Linked DNA regions of Oryctolagus cuniculus. The protein of the gene in region 3 interacts with the protein of the main gene of each other region in a pairwise test. Links are inferred from orthologs where the notes say so. Each region holds a gene or a part of one and is shown on either strand. Other genes may lie near its edges.

Evidence for each region.
Region 1: the proteins of CRYAB (region 3) and gamma-crystallin C interact in binary tests that used the Homo sapiens proteins (3 or more experiments, as listed by UniProt). The link is inferred for Oryctolagus cuniculus from reciprocal best matches to the Homo sapiens genes CRYAB and CRYGC.
Region 2: the proteins of CRYAB (region 3) and CRYBB2 interact in a two-hybrid assay, tested with the Homo sapiens proteins (2 studies listed by BioGRID and IntAct). The link is inferred for Oryctolagus cuniculus from reciprocal best matches to the Homo sapiens genes CRYAB and CRYBB2.
Region 4: the proteins of CRYAB (region 3) and LBH interact in a two-hybrid assay, tested with the Homo sapiens proteins (2 studies listed by BioGRID, with this or other methods). The link is inferred for Oryctolagus cuniculus from reciprocal best matches to the Homo sapiens genes CRYAB and LBH.

Annotation. Positions count from the first base shown.
Region 1 is NC_091434.1:31,660,089-31,663,734, forward strand, and holds gamma-crystallin C, read left to right. Parts: upstream 1-1,389; coding exon 1,390-1,398; intron 1,399-1,494; coding exon 1,495-1,737; intron 1,738-2,603; coding exon 2,604-2,879; 3' UTR 2,880-2,946; downstream 2,947-3,646. UniProt on the Homo sapiens protein: Crystallins are the dominant structural components of the vertebrate eye lens.
Region 2 is NC_091452.1:19,372,563-19,376,464, reverse strand, and holds the end of CRYBB2 (beta-crystallin B2), read right to left. Parts: intron 3,889-3,902; coding exon 3,756-3,888; intron 2,690-3,755; coding exon 2,547-2,689; intron 857-2,546; coding exon 688-856; 3' UTR 600-687; downstream 1-599. UniProt on the Homo sapiens protein: Crystallins are the dominant structural components of the vertebrate eye lens.
Region 3 is NC_091432.1:103,864,797-103,869,190, forward strand, and holds the start of CRYAB (alpha-crystallin B chain), read right to left. Parts: upstream 2,857-4,394; 5' UTR 2,837-2,856; coding exon 2,636-2,836; intron 1,538-2,635; coding exon 1,415-1,537; intron 108-1,414; coding exon 1-107. Other genes in the region: HSPB2 (heat shock protein beta-2), read left to right, coding at 3,905-3,998. UniProt on the Homo sapiens protein: May contribute to the transparency and refractive index of the lens. Has chaperone-like activity, preventing aggregation of various proteins under a wide range of stress conditions.
Region 4 is NC_091433.1:172,760,282-172,764,612, forward strand, and holds the start of LBH (protein LBH), read right to left. Parts: upstream 3,071-4,331; 5' UTR 2,861-3,070; coding exon 2,835-2,860; intron 388-2,834; coding exon 285-387; intron 1-284. UniProt on the Homo sapiens protein: Transcriptional activator which may act in mitogen-activated protein kinase signaling pathway.

The DNA.
Region 1 (3,646 bases), on a different chromosome or scaffold from region 3:
AGGTTCTTGCCATCCACATGGGAGACCTAGATTCCAGCTTTGTTGTGGTCCAGCACCAGTTATCTTGTGCATTTGGAGGGTGGAACATCAAATAGGGAGTTTCTCAATCACTTTCTCAAATAAAGAAAATAAATACATTTTAAAAAGAATTTTTAAAAAGGATTTTAGTCTGGTTGGATAATTTGGGGAAGAATCTAAAAACTGAGGTTCATTCTAGATAGATGCTGTCCCAAAGCAAGATTAAGTTTATGATTGGTTATCTCATTAAATCTTACCCAAAGAGAGAGAAACTAGAATGAAGATTAAGCTATAATTGATAAAGAAATAGCCGAAAATCATTTTGGATGAGGGGGTAATATTTGGTACTGTGTGTGTGTTTTGCTGGCATTGTTTTTGCCTGTGCTTAGATAGACTAATAAAGTGGCCTTGCTTTATTTCATTCCATCAAGGGAGATTGTTTACATCCACTAGAAGAATAATACATCCCAGCTATGAGTGCCAGGCCTGCTTCCGAATGTCAGAGGTTATTCCTTTCTGTCTTTCTCACTCATCAAACCTTCTCCCACGAGATGGGTCCTGCTCTGAGAGGTAGTGGGACCTGCCATCTTCATACAGCCACCCCATGGGCCTCCCCAGCCCAGGCAGTCTGTGTCAGAATGCAGCTTCATGGTCTCCCCATCCTTGGAAAAGGGGCAACAACCAACAGAGCAACACACTTCGCAGTCTTGGGCCCATGGTCGCAGGAAGCCTTCCCTCGTTCCTAGCACAAGTTGACTCCCAGGGGCTGACATCCTGATACATGATGTGCACCTGTCAATGCGGGGTAGAGAGATTAACTACTGTGTTTTAGTGAATTGAATCAACGAAGTCAAAACCAGCTTAGATCAGAATCTAGACTTATGTCCTGCATTGAACTGACAAACTGTGTAAAGAAAAACATTTAAGACAGCTAGTTCTGTCTTCCAGAGAAAGTGGGGTGTGTAGCAGTCTGTCTCCCCAACAGCCTCTTGGAACCAGGGGACCCTTCAGGAAGGCAGAGCTTTCCCCCGGAAAATTCGTGGGTTTTAATTAAATCGTACTCCTATGCATGCAGACACGAATTTCGGGTCAAAAGTTCAGACTGGTGTGCTGATAAATTTAAAAAACACGAAGAATCCAAATAAAAGAGCAGCAGATAGAGGCCAGCGTGAGAATATACCAGAGAATGAGGGCAAAATCTGCAATCATTTCCAGTGAATGCAGCATGTAAAAGGGATCCATAAAATGCCCTTACTCACCCCCGCGGGCCCCTTTTGTGTTGTTCCTGCCAACGCAGCAGCGCTCCTGCTATATAGACCCGCCGCGCTGCCGGCCCCACACACTGAACTCCAGCATCGGTGTCAACCAGCCATGGGGAAGGTGAGCGGAGCACACGTTTAATAAAAAGAAAACAGAGCTTTATACAAGGCTTACTGGGAGCAAATGATTTAATTCGGAATCATTCTTCCTTTGCAGATCATTTTCTACGAGGACCGGGGCTTCCAGGGCCGCTGCTACGAGTGCAGCAGCGACTGCCCCAACCTGCAGCCCTACTTCAGCCGCTGCAACTCGGTGCGCGTGGACAGCGGCTGCTGGATGCTCTATGAGCGCCCCAACTACCAGGGCCACCAGTACTTCCTGCGCCGGGGCGAGTACCCCGACTACCAGCAGTGGATGGGCCTCAGCGACTCGATCCGCTCCTGCCGCCTCATCCCCCAAGTGAGTTTTGCTTGATTTGGCTCATGCTGCCTGCGTGTTCTCACTGAGTTACTGATGTGGGTTGGGGAGGTTTTACTTTATAAACAACGAGGGGCTATGTGGGTTTTCTGCACTTGCTTACACATAGAATACAGGCAAGAATCCACTTGGAGGAAGAGTCAGTTTTATGTTTAATTCTTGCTATCATTAAGACAATCAAAGTTGTCGATCAAATAGATTAGCATAATGAAATTTAAAACAGAACTTGCCAACGGGAAGCTGATTAGGCTGGAGATGGCAGTAATTTATAACAAATTCCATTCGTTTTCATTTATTTTAAAGAAATTTCTAATGACTGCATTAGGTTCTACTGTGGACTAATACACACTGAAGACTTGTTCGTATAGGATACTCAATAGCTCTTTAATTTGGGAAATCCCTTGAATCCTGGTTCCCAGGGACTATTTAAACCAACTTTTCCCTGAAGTACAGAAGTTCAAAATCCTACTTTAATGATAAATTTATATGTATATAAATAATTCTGGGAGAGACATTCTTATTAAAATATAAATTAAAATAAATTATTTAAGCTTTCCAAAAAATATATTTGAGTCACCCAGAGGGAAATAGGAATCAAAGAACTTGAGTTTCTGATGAATTCCAAGTTTGAACCTCACAAAAATATCACCTGCTAGATAAGAAACAGCGATTGATGTGCAAGAATTTGTCAGATGTTAGCAGAAGGCAGATCCACGCACAGCTATTTCAGAGTCATGATTCTTACATTGAAAATCCATGCCCAGTCTATCAAGGTCATCTTTGTTTGATTGGATGAATTCCATAAGAGGCTCATTTGCTTTTCTGGTTCCTTCTTTTTGTGCCCCGAGCAGACAAGCTCTCACAGGATGCGACTGTATGAGAAAGATGACCACAAAGGCCTCATGATGGAGCTGAGCGAGGACTGCTCCTGCATCCAGGACCGCTTCCACCTCAGTGAGGTCCGCTCCCTCCACGTGCTGGAGGGCTGCTGGGTCCTCTACGAGCTGCCCAACTACCGGGGGCGGCAGTACCTGCTGAGGCCTCAGGAGTACCGGCGGTACCAAGACTGGGGAGCCATGGATGCGAAAGCAGGCTCTTTGCGCAGAGTGGTAGATTTATACTAAAATAGGTTAACACTACCATTTTCTCATTTTGGAACCTAATAAAGTATTTAGTCTGTATTGTTGGCAATTACTGACTTCGAGTTTTTCTTGCATTGTGTGCAAATTAATTCACATATAAATACTCGCTGCTAAAGTTTGTGAAGGGCATAAGGGAGTGGGTGGAGTGGATTCAAGAGCCTGAAGGCCTGGTGAGTATGAGCAAGGCTCAGACATCAGGGAGGAGAGAGGATGCAGCCCGAATGAGAAAGAAAAGACAAGGCAAACTAGAGACAGGCAGATGGCGATGGGGGAACCCAGGCACTCCGCAGAAGGCTCTGAGGAACAGTGTTCCAAAAGTTTCCTTCCGGCCTGGAAAGTGGTTGGAAACTACAAAAGACAAAGTCAAGTGAGTTGTGAGGCCAAGTCCAGCTTGGCAAGAAGCCTGAGTAGACTGTGAGGAATTGGAGTTTTGTTGACTTTCAAGTGCAGTGTTAACATAACGAATACCAAGCTGCCATGCCTTTGCACCAGGGTAAACCTTTAGTTATTTCGGAGCCTGGCCCAAATGCTGCGTGAAGTATAGAAACTGCAGAACTGTACATGGGGTCCAGATAATGCAAATAAATTCATAAGGGAGACACATCAGTAGTTTAAGTGGTTTACATGATCTAATATATCACAAACATAAAAAGCCCTTTAACTACAAAAAAATAAGGCTCAAATTTATCTTGATGAAGAATGGGGTGGGAGAGGGAGTGGAAGATGGGATGGTTGTGGGTGGGAGGGAG
Region 2 (3,902 bases), on a different chromosome or scaffold from region 3:
TGTCCATACACAGTCATCGCCGTCCACCATCCTTTGATCATCCCCAGTCTCTCTGGATCTTGCCCTTGATCAACCCTTTGATTTTTGGACCCTAAAGTCCTCACCCCACCTGGAACACTGGAACACACACACACACACACACACACACACACACAGAGACAAGTTACTGTGACCTCTCCTTGGGGTGGGGAGGAATCCCGCAGGATTCTTGGCATCTCTGGCAGAGCCTTGAGGCAGTGATTCTCAGTACAGGGAGATCAGCAGGCAGTGGATGCATGCCCCTTGGGGTCACTCTGCCCAGCACCACAGAGAGAGAACCCAGGGGTGAACCAAGACAGCCATGCAGGGGACAAGAGGTTCAGGAGTCAGGTGAAGAAGTGGAGGCTCAGAGAGGTTGGATGATGCATCTGAGGTCACACAGCCACGTCGCTGCAGAGCTGTCTCAGGGAGAGCCCTGTTTCCCTGCGTAGCCCAAACACAGCTACATCTGTGTGTGTGTGTGTGTGTGTGTGTGTGTGTGTGTCTGTGCCTCTTTGCACTCACACACTCATGCCCACGCCGCACCTCCCACAGGGGATAAGAGACAGGCAACACACAAGTTGCAGGTCACACTTTATTCACTCGCTGGGAGCTCTGCAGGATCCTGGCTCCTGGGAGGGAGGGATGGCGGAGGCGTGGCGGGGAGCCCTAGTTGGTGGGATGGAAGGCGCCCCGCTGGTGCCACTGCATGTCGCGGATGCGGCGCACGGACTGCACCTGGGGGTGGGGAGCCCCAAAGTCACTGCTGTCCTTGTAGTCTCCCTTCTCCAGGAGGTACTGCAGCCCACGGTAGCCAGGGTACTGGTAGCCGACCCACCTGCAGGGCCAGGGGGAGGTGGGGAGGGAGAGAGAGAGAGAGACCCCTTCAGGCAGTAGGAAGGGTGATTTCCCCCTGATGCTGAGCAGCACAGCCCTCTTAGCCCCTCCAGCAGCGAGCCTCTGCTCTCCTTCTCTTGATGGGCTCACTCCCTCCTGCAGTGAACGGTGTCTGCAGACCTGAGAGTAGGGTCAGACCAGGAGCCGAGGTGCTCACAGAAGCTTAGAGGCAGACAGGTGCTGAACCGCGCAGTCCACCACGCCCCAGGCCATCTCTGGGGACACCTCCAGCTCGGCGTCTCTGGCTTGTGCCCCTCCGGCCTGCACTCCCGCCACGTGGCCTTTGTGGACTCTCTCACACTCCCCTTGTCCTTGCTTCCTGAGAGGCCCTGTCTCAGCCTCTACCCGCTGCGATTCCTCCTCCTCCGAGAGCTCAGCTCAAGTGTATCTTCCTTGAGAAGCAGCTTAGCTCGCTGGGGATCGCTGGGGACTCTCCCACTGCTAACTGTTGCTCCCTCTAGCGGGTCAGCTGCCCAGGCAGCCACCTGATCGCTGTCATCTCCCTTCGCCTAAGCTAATGGCTGGCACTTGGCAGTAGCTGGCAAATCAAGCCAGTGAGTGAGTGAATAACGGGGGCAATCAACACAGAATTTGGGGCACTATTGTTGGTGCTTGACAAATGCCAAGAAGCCAGCAGCTGTGACAAATGTGGCTCTTGGGGGTTGCCAGGGAGGAGATTGGAGGGGGTGTGGGGGCAGGGTTGGGTGGGAGGCGAGTCCTGATTAGTACCATCTGCCAATGGCTGTGGTGGAAAGACTTCTCCTGGGGCTGGCCTCATGCAACCATTGATTCATCAGAACTAAAATTCTGAAAACGTCAGAATCTGCTCTTATAAGCTAGGGATCACTTCTGGAATTCCCTAAGGACACCCCAGTCCACAGATGCCCAAGTGCCGTACGAATATGGCCAGCATTTATTTGCACAGAACCTGCACCACCTCCTTCCTACTCGAAACCACCTCCAGGTGACTCAGAACACCCAGTACGAGGTAGGCGCCCTGTGCAGGAGGACTGCATTGCATTCTATGGGAAACAGCAAGTTCTCGTATCTCAAATATGGACACACACAAAAAAAACTATTTCCAGTGCATGGTTGGTTGCGTCCACAGGTGTGGGACCAGTGGAGAGGAAAGCTGACGGCATGAGCCGGCTCCAGCCCCCACTGCCCAGAGCTCAGCTGCAGCCCCAACAGAACCCACGGACAGGCTCCCACGGACAAATCCCCGGGCACTGGCAGCCATGTGTGTCTAAGAAATGCAGTCCCGTGGGAATTGGGACCTCCTACTCCCCAGCTCAGGAGCCGAGCTGTGTACAAGGCCAGCATGGCCTGGGCTTCCTGCCCCTTGGAGCTCAACATCGCTCAATTCACTGCTCCGCCTCCTGCCTCAACTTACCTCTGCCTCTCCCTGAACCGCCCTCAACCCCCAGGCACAAACACCGTCCTGCTTTTCAGGGGCTGGAAGCCACATCTGGTGATTCCTGATTTCTGCCCATTTTCCAGTGGGAAGACTGAGGTCAGGAGTGGCCGGTGATGGGTGCGAGATGGCCCACAAATTTGGGGGAAAGTAGGATGGAGGACCCCAGGGTTTGGGTTCCCGGAGCAGGGTGAGCCAGGGCTGGGGACGCACTCACGTGCCGCTCTGCACCCGCACGGACGACACCTTCTCCTGGTAGCCGTGGGCGTGGAAGCTGGGCACGTCGTCATCTATGATCTCCATCTTCTTGCCCGTGAAGTTGGGGTTCTCATAGAGGATGATCTTGTGCTCCTGGCTGTCCTGTGGTGGGGGTGGGGGGCAATGAGTGCAGGTGCAGGGGCTCCGGGCTCTGCCTTCCCACCTGATCCTCATGGCCCAGAGCTGGCCTCAGCATGCCCCACCTGGGACCCTCTGCCCAATACGCCTGCGTGGGGGCCCCTACGACAACTGCCTCTGGACAGGGGCTGGTTGCTGAGCTCCTACGGGGGAATGGCAGATGCTGCATTGTCCTCCTCCCCCTCATAGGCACAACCTCCTCTGTGGTAAGCACCGGCCATGATGCACTCACACACACGCCCCATACATTCCTGCTCAGGCTTATGGCGCCTCCAGCAGACACGTGAGGTCATTTTTTCCCGTCATCTCTACAATTCTGCCCTTCCTCTACTTCCTATAGCGCATTGTTCTTCATTTTTTAAGCCTTTCAATGACTCTTGCACCGTTTGGCAGATAACAAGACAAGGCTCAGAGAGGTAAAATGACTTGCTCAAGATCACACAGCTGGGCATGGCAAAGCCAATATAAAACCCAGATCTGTGGAAAGCTGTGTCCAGTGGTCTCCCTTCCTCCATCCCAAGCTCTGAGAGGGGCTGGCCTGGGCTTGGGTGATTTGGGGATTACAGCTGAGAATTAACACCCCAGTGAGAATCAGGATCAGGCATGCCCGAGAGCTCCCCCTGGCCTGAGTCTCCCTGCTCCTCCCCCACCCCCAGCATGTCTTGTACTATGTATGACAGCTATAGTAGCTTTTTGAGTGATTTCTCTGTGACAGGCATTGTACCATCCTAGGGATCCCATCTGCATGGAATAGTTTGTGAACAGTGCCCCTCTCCCAACCAGGAGCTATTGTAGTCCTGTGAGTGGAGCCCCCTGGAGCTGTGCAATGTGACAGCCCTCAAACCAAGCCTGCTGCCATCTCAATAGCTACGAATGTGCCCATGTCTCAGAAGTGGAGACGGAGGCTGGCTGCAAGCAAAATGACTGTTGCAAGGCCGCTTCAATGCTAGAGGCGACGGCTCCTTTCCTGTCCTCGGACCGCTGGACCAAAGATAGCAGAGACAAAGTGGGACAAAGGGCGGGGTCTCACCACTTTGATGGGCCTCAAGGAGCTGAGGGAGTCCGTCCTCCGGCTGCTGGTCCACGAGTCCCAGCGAGGGTACTCGCCCTTCTCAAATACAAACTGCTCGCCCTTGCAGTTGGCTTGCTCGTAGCCCACCCAGCTGCAAGAGAGGTC
Region 3 (4,394 bases):
GTGAGGACCCCATCAGATGACAGGGATGAAGTAATGGTGAGAGGGTCCACATCAGCTGGGATCCGGTATTTCCTGTGGAACTCCCTGGAGATGAAACCATGTTCATCCTAATCCAAGAAAAGAGGAAAGAGGCAGAGATATAAGAACAAGAAATAATCCCACTTGCTTATAACTCCGACATCCCCATTACCCTTACGTGTGTCTAAAGGCCACTGACAACATGAGAAAAAATAAAGGGCAGTTCATTTCAGGTTTTGGGCAAAGATGAAGTTGCCCAGGTGGTAACTTCTACCCATAAGAGTGTGAGGAGTCTGAAACAGACCAGAACTTTAACCCTGAAGCATAGATGTGTAAGGATATTTTTCAAAAGTTTGGCTGAGCCTATAGGATTTGGAATCTTGTCCTGGCAACTGAGTCCCTGAAGGAGCCCAGAAATTGTCCTGACCCTTCAACAATTCCCAGAATGTTCCAGACTAATAAGATTGCTCCTAAGGGGAAAAAAAAAGTGACTTCATCCATTCAGGGAGACTGTGACCCAAACTTAAGTCATATGAGCAAAACTGAAACAACCTGATTGTATTAAGCTAAATTGTATTAGTTGATGCAGAAGCCTTGGATTATCACTAATTGTTGAGAAATGATATTAAACCTGTTCAAAGACATGAGAATATGTTCCATTCATCAGAATTTCGTAAAAGTAACTGACCCTGACCTGTATGCCTGCCCAATCTCCAGCATTTTTCCAAAAAGGCTCTCAATTTAACTGATTTCCACATGGACTACGAGAGATTGGGAACCAAGTACAACTTTGAAACATCAGAAAACCAAGTAGTGTAGCATTAAGATAGCCTGAAGAGAAGTGGACCATCTAAAAGAAAAGTTATGGATTCAAGTGCCTTCAGGGTATATGTAGCTAATGTAATTACATAAAGCAACTTGTTGTCTGACAAAACTACTTAGATGAGTGCCCTTCAGCTTGACTGTAGATTACAATCGTCTTTAGAAGTGAAAAAAAAAAAATGGTATTGCCTACATCCTATCTCTAAAAATTTTTATTTAATCGTTCAGGGCATAGCTGAGAATTTGGATTTGTGAACATTCTCCTAGTGATTCTAATGTGGCCAAGGTTGAGAATCACTGGCTTAAATGGGGAGCAAACATCCAATTTATCCCATCTAAGCCAATCAAATCAAAACAAACAATCATGGTCCCTGCTTTGGCCAACAACAGCAATAATAATAACAGCTCAGTCCCTAATTTAGTTTCTAGCCATTGATTTGCTATCCCTGATTCAGAGGCTCATTTTTTTGGGACAGGAATGTCGCCAGCCTCAAAAGCTGATGGCAGTGTCTGGCATCATTCAGTAGACAACATGCACTGAATGAATGAGCAGAAGGAAAAGCAGGCTACATACCTGGCGCTCTTCATGTTTGCCGTGCACCTCAATCACATCACCCAACACTTTGACCTTGAGCTCCTCTGGGGAGAAGTGCTTCACATCCAGGTTGACAGAGAACCTGTCCTTCTCCAGGCGCATCTAGAAATAGCAAGATGAGGGAAGGGGGAGGTGGGAGAAAAGGTGACAGGCATGTTGATTACACTGGTACAGTATCGTCATTTTGTAGACTTGCTTTCTATACAGCTATTTTATCCTCCTCTTTTCTGCTAAATATACCACAGTGGTACCCAAGGCATGCCTATCAGTCATCAATTCCAAACTTTATTTATAAGGAAAGATCACCCAGGGAACCAATCACAAGATGGGTCTGGGCATGGCTTCTGCTGCCTCTTTGACCCCAATGCCTTGCTTTGTCATTTGTCTATGAGACAAAGGCCCCTTCTTCTTGCTCAGTTCTCTGCCAAGTGTCCCACCCATACAATCTGGAATGTTCTGCTTGCCCTTCCAAAGCCCTTGCCCACTCAGCTCCTGTTTACCCACACTCGAATATTTTTAAACCGCAGTGTTATCTTTGACAGTGCCTGTCAACCTTATCTAGTCACCGCATTCTCCCACCCTCTTAGGACAAGCGAGAGGGTCCTAAGACTGGTCCTATTCTTCCCTCATAAGGCTTGGACCCAGGCCAGTGCTCTGTCAGAACCCCAAGGAACTTGGAAAATCATACAAGAGGGAACAGATCTCAAATCTGCGTATATTAACTGCATGAAGTTGTATTCGTTTAATAAAACAAAAATAAATAAATAAAAAGAGGGAATGGAAAGGAAAAAATAGTGGTTGTTGTTGCCAGTTCCCCCTAGTGAGGATGAAAAGCTCAGGATGAGGTAGGACTCTGAAACTTGAGATGATAAAGTCTCTCAGGAGTACAAACTATTATTAGAAGAGGTGAGCAAAGCGTTAGAAGGCAGTTCCCTTCTCTTCAAATCTTTCTGAACCAAACCAGGAACGGGTATCTTGCTTAGAAGTTAGAGGAGAGAGCATCAGGGATGCACAGCTCAGGGGAAAATGTAGTAAGATACAGAGAAGTATCAAACAGAAACAGGTGCCCAGAGGAGGGAGGCAGTAACCTCATTTTTCTTCACTTATGGACACACATGAGCCTAAAGTGGTTTTTAGGCAAGGAAGGAAAGGAAAATGAATAGGGGAGTTTCAAGGAGGTTTCAAGCAGAGGAGACTCACCTCTGAGAGTCCAGTGTCAATCCAGCTGGGTGCCCGCAGGAATGAGGGTGGCCGAAGATAGAAGGGGCTCAGGGAAGTAGAAGTTGGGAAGAGATCAGACTCCAACAGGTGCTCTCCGAAGAACTGGTCAAAGAGGCGGCTGGGCGAGTGAAAAGGAAAGAAGGGGCGGCGGATCCAGGGGTGGTGGATAGCGATGTCCATGGTGGCTAGGTGAGTGTCGGGGGTCAGCTGGCGGGTCAGCTCCTTCAGCCGCAGCTACAGCCAGCCCCTTATATATGCAGTCTTCTGAAGCTTCTGGAATGGTGATGTCAGGGGTTTTATTATCCTAGCTCACCGCTGGTTCATGGAGACTTGTGATCGGGGATTTGGCAGTGTGACACATACCCAGTACTCACTGAGCTAAGAAAAGAGAAACACAAACACGTCTGAGCTGGCCAGTGACTTGCCATGGTCTTGTTTCACTGGCTTTCCGTCCACACCCAAAGGCACCCACCCCCTTCCCCTGTTCTCTGAAGCTGGGACACAGTCAGGAATCCCAAGCAGGCGCGTGGTGTGCCCCTCCTCCTCCTCTCCAGTCTTGCATGCCAGGGGCATCTGGCCAGCAACTATCTTGGGCCTGGGCAGGAACTGGAATCTTCCTAGGCTGGGCCCCAGGGACATTAACTCTTTGTAGGTCCTTGGAGGAGAGTGACCACCAGCATGTCACTACCAGGCATCTGCGTGGCACCCTGGGTTGACGAGGGCTTAGGAGAGGACCCTGACATTAATCTGGGCAGATGCACCCCAATCTCCCTAAAAAAGGCAGAAAAGTTTCTTGCCTCTTTGATTGTATGTGGCTTGCAGGACATGAAATCCAAAGTTCTTTATGAAGCAGGGGGCACAGTCCTGCAACTGAGGAGTAAAAGGGAGTGTGGAAATGTTCTGACTGTTTAGGGAGGGGCTCGGCCTGGCCTCTCCTGAGCCTCCAGCACCAGCACCCCTCCCCAGCTCCCTCTGAACCAGGACCCCCAGCTGTCTTCTCTGGTCCTCTGCGACAGCTGAAGGGTGTATGGGGGAGGGGACTGGGGGTCCGGTGGCGTGGATCACACCCTCGTCTTTGCACTCAGGGCCTGGCTCTGCAGCCCTGCCCCCAGAGGCTCTGCACTATTTTGGGTGGTGTAGACCCCGCCCCCACCTCCGACCAAGCCCTGGCTCTCCAGGCAGCTGGAGGGGTCGCACTGGCCTCTTGGGGCTGCACCTCAGATCAGGGCTGTCGCCACGTCTGCAGCTATGTCGGGCCGTACAGTGCCCCATGCCCACCCGGCCACCACTGAGTACGAATTTGCCAATCCCAGCCGCCTGGGTGAACAGCGCTTTGGAGAAGGTATGGGCCAGATGCCACCCCCCTCCTTGCCTCCCACCCCCACCTCCTGAAATTCTGGGCTGATCTCCCAACGTTACTGGCTTCCACCCCATTTCGGGCTTAAGTGAACTCCGGGGGTGGGCCACCTCCAACCTCAGACTCCCTCCTCACCCCCCGCAAACAGGGCTTGTTCCCCTTCCCACTGACCTCAGTACAGACTTGGGGCCTGCCATGCTCTGATTGCTGCCCCTTGCCTGCCCATGTGCCTTCTCATTCCCCTGCTATCACCAGGTCCCAGTCAGCCTTGCCTTCCTCCACCACCACCTCATTTCCTTTCTCAAGCCCCTCTTCCTAGCTACCCTCTTCTAGCCACCACCCCTCCACTCCTGCACCTCCCCAGCCCCGCGGCTCCCCATC
Region 4 (4,331 bases), on a different chromosome or scaffold from region 3:
CTGCTGTGAATGGAGGAGTGCACAGAGCCAGATGGCTAATCAACAGCCATGACCGCCTCAGCACCGCCTCTCACCAAGCTGTGGCTCTCCCATGATCCCATGTGGTGAGGACTACTGTTGCCCCATTTTACAGATGAAAAAACTGAGGCCTACTGGCATCCGGGGACTTTGCTGAGATCACACAGCTCTTTACAAGTGGCGCTCGGAAGCAAAAGCAAGTCTGCCTCCATCCGCAGCAAGAGCCGTGAGACCCTGCGAAGAGTCAGCAGGACTTCCATACCTACCTGGTAGGAAAGGCCGTCCTTCCGGGGGCTGAGGCCAATCTCCTCCATGGATGGGGTGTTCATCATCACCTCGGTCATCTCGGCCGATCTCAGATAGTCAGGGCTGCCAAGAAACCCAGACCCAAAGTCAGCAAACACAGGCACTTTCACGTTCCTCCTCTCGGGTACGTACGCTGCCAGGAGATCAGGGGAGCGTCTGGAGACAGGATGAGAGGGATTCGCAGAAAAACAAGCTCGCGCGCTCTGAGGAAGTGCCTTGCAAACCCACAGCAACAGGGCTCCAAGCCCCAGTGGACAAAGCCCGCTGCCCCTGGCAAACCGCCATCACCCTCCTCTCCTGCACGGGAGACCCCTGGCACAGAATGACCCTGGGTTTCCTTTAAGTGACAGCACCAGGAAAAAACCAAAACAGTAGGCAGCTGATCTCTCTGTCTATATGAAAATCAATCCAGCCGGGTCTCCCTCTCCCCTCCAACTAAGCATAAAAATAACCCTCATGAATTTTCCAAAGGGAAATTGCAAATCATAATTACACAATAATGGTAACAGGTCAGCCTCGGGGAAAACAAAGCCCAGCACGAATCCCCCTGCCTACATTTCTCTCCATCTCTCTGGTGCTCCTTTTGGCAAAATGTCCCACTGGAAGCCCCAAGGGGTCAGCTTTCTGCAAGCTCCACATCTGTCATCCAACCCCCTTCTCCAGCCCGAGCCACGGCAGCTGCAAGCTCACAGCTTGAAAAACATCCCCTGGATTAAAAGCCTTAAGGATACCCGGACTCTGATTGCAAAGGAAATTTCCAGAGGGGCCACGCTGGCCCACCAATGGCTGACATGTGAAAGTGCTTTGTACTCTGTAAGCCGGATACAAACGTCCCATTATCCTAGCACCAGCCCTGGGCACACACAGGACCCTATGTGCATTATGCCACATATACAGCCCAGACCCGGGTCCTGGCTACACAACACCCAGTATTTCCACTGGGCAGGCTTTAGAGGGAGTCTACCTAAGGGAACGGGGACGCCAGACTCCTTGCAAGGTTCATACACAGTGGAGAAACTGCATTGGATTTGGGAGCAGAAGCAATGGGTGCTGCCCTCAAGAGCTGAGTGATACAGAACAGGTCCTGTAATCTCTCAGAGTCACAGGTGTCCCGTGTTCGCGTGTTACTTGTATGTTGATCTTGGGTGTCTCGCAAGTAAGGGGAAAGGTTGAAAGGTTACTGCTCATCAGCTAGCTGACCCTAAACCTCAATTTCACAAGGGGCACTATCCCCGATGGGCTCTGCCACCACTGGGGAAAAGCGGCCAACAGCCTGCGAACCCCAGCCACAGGACACCTGGCCGCTCCCTCACCACAGGGTGCAGTGTACCTGGGCTCCTGGAAGGGGGGGGCCTGGATGAGTCTCGGGGTGGGGGGATTTTTACTTTGCTTGGAGAGTTCAGTCCTCTCTCTGAACACAGGCAGGCTGGGGCGGAAGCGAGAGACCAAGGGAGGATGTGGCAGAGGATTGGATCCGGAGCCAGGACCCCCACGGCACAGTCTCTTCCCGGGCCGCGCCCCTCCCTCCTAGAGGAATGCTCAAGCAGGGGAGGGCTCTTCTGATGTAGGGGGGCTGATCCCCGCTCGAGGGTTTGGCGCAGGCCCCGAAAAGTTGGGGCAAGAAGAGTGAACTTCCTGGTTCCCAGGCTCGGCAGGACGGCGCCCCGAGACTTGAGCCCGTTTCCTCTCTCAGGGTGCCGAACCCCGACCCCAGGGCCTGGCTCTCCACAGCCGCACCTTCGGGCGCGCTCCGGGGCGCTTGCCCCTGGGTCTGCTCCCCAACCCCAGCGCAGGAAGGAAGAAGCGGCCAGCGCGCGAGTCCCGGCAGCCAAGGCCTCTCTCCGCACCCTTCCCCACCCGGGTCCCCCGCTGGGGGCAAACCTCCGCCGCCGCCCCTCGGCCCAGCTCGGGAAGGGCGGCTCATCGCCAGCAAGGACCGGCACTGAAGGCTGGACGGGTTTGGGGGGCTACCGAGCGAGCAGGGGTCGAAAGTGTGCTGCGTGGGAGCTGCTGTTTGTGGCTTCAGTGGGGTTGCGGGTGGGGAAGGCGTCTCTCCCCCTGCCCGAGCTTTGCAAAAGCGGCGGCTGCACCAGCTCAGCCTGGCTGCAGCCTCGACGCCGAGACTTGCATGCAAACAAAAAGAAAAAAGGGGAGGGGCCCGGCAGAGCGGGAGCCCCTGCGCCAGGGGGGCGCGCGCCTCCCGCAGCTCTCTGCAGAGAGGGGGTCTCGTGGGCTGGGAGGGGGGCTCAGAGGCAACCCCTGGCTCGACGCCGCCACAGCTAGCACCACACACGCCCTCCAGCAGTCACTCCGCTGAGCGCTCCGAGTTCACTTCCTTTGTCTGGATGCTCTCAGCGCCACCTCCCCCCACCCCCACCCTCGCAACCTTGACGTTGACTCCTGCACGGGCTCCGGCTGCGGGTTTGCGCGGGGCGCGCACTCCCCCGGCTGCACTCGCCCCGGAGCCACGGCAGCGAGACGGGCGCCCGCCGCGGGCACCGGGTACTCACCAGTGAATGGGGAAATATACAGACATGAAGTCCTAGGGGAGGCTGACCCGCGCCCTCGTGATTGAAAAATGGTCACCGCGTCCCGGGAGAGAAGGACACGAGTGCAGACGGGCGCGGCAGGCGGCCGAGAGAGGTGCCGGGCGTAAGCGGTTCCGCCGTCCCGAAACAGCCCCACTGCCAGCGGCGTCGGCGGAGCGCGCTGAGCTCCCCGCTCACCACCGCGATCCCGGCCCCACAAAGAGCCCGGGAGGCCGCATTTATAGGGGAGGGGGGAGGAGCCTGGCCCCGAGAGGCCCCGCCCCCTCACCCACTCCTGGAATAACGTCACCAAAATCATGAATGGCTTGGGCGCTCGCAGCTCGGGCGGGCGGCGGCTCGGGGACGCGCTCGGCTCTGCTCCCCAGGGCCGTGGTTTGCTGCAGCTCCCGGCCCGGCCCCTCCCCGCGACTCGCACGCGCGCACACACGCACGCCCCGGGCTGGAGTTCAATGTCAGCGCGGCGCCCGCAGCGCGTCCCTGCACCCCCAGGGTCCTCCGAGGCGACCGGGCTGAGCGGGCGGGATCGCCGGGGCCGCTCCGCGCCGGCGGAGGGCGCAGTTCCTTCAGCCTCGGTCCGCGCTCGCCGACCTGGCCCAGCCCTCGGGGCCCCCTCTTCTGCATCCACACCTGGACCAGGCTTCTCCGCGGCGCCCGGGACGCGTCCCTTCTCCCCCGGGCTGGCTGTGCGAGGGGCTGTGCGGTTGCCGTGAGCCGAAAAGCGTCCGATTCGTGGGAGAAAGGATGTGTTGTCGGCTTGGGGTCTTTCCGCTGTGGGACGCGCACTCGCACCAGCGCACCCCACGAGCCTCGGCGCCCTAATCGGCGCGGAAGAGTCCCTCGCTGCGTGACAGCCGCCACAAAGGGGGTCGGGAGGAACAGGTCCCGCGCCTCCCAGGCTGGCCAGCGGCGCAGCCTGCAGAGCAGGACGATGAGAGCCCAGCTGGGCCACTGGGGGGCCTCCGCGGCCGTGACGCCAGAGGCGGTTTTCAAACACTAGGCAATATTAAAATCTGCCTTGAAGACAGGCGGTTTTGCAAGGCAAGACAGGGAATATATTGAACCCCTGTGTACGTGCTCAAAAGTGGGAACACAGACGTCTCAGGGAGGAAAGATGCAGGAATGAATGGGAAGAGATCAGCAGGGGCAGGGTCCTCAGAGGCAGGGGAGGGGACCCTCGTGATTCCATCAGTGCCCCCTGTCAAAACCAACCCAAAGAAAAAACAATTGATAGCTTTGCTGTTGTCAGCCCTTCCTGTAGTCAACCGGAGTAAAAACTGCACCCAGAAACGCGCTGCTTCCTGACAAGCCCCTAGCTGCCCCCTCTGCCGGAGAGATGCAGGAGCACCCCCAACCCCATGGATCCCGCGCACTAAACCAGAAATCCATCAGTGCTACCAGAAGCCGCCTTCCGCTCCCCCCGCGTTGGTGTCCCGATTGGAGGGGGAGGGGGAGCTTTTG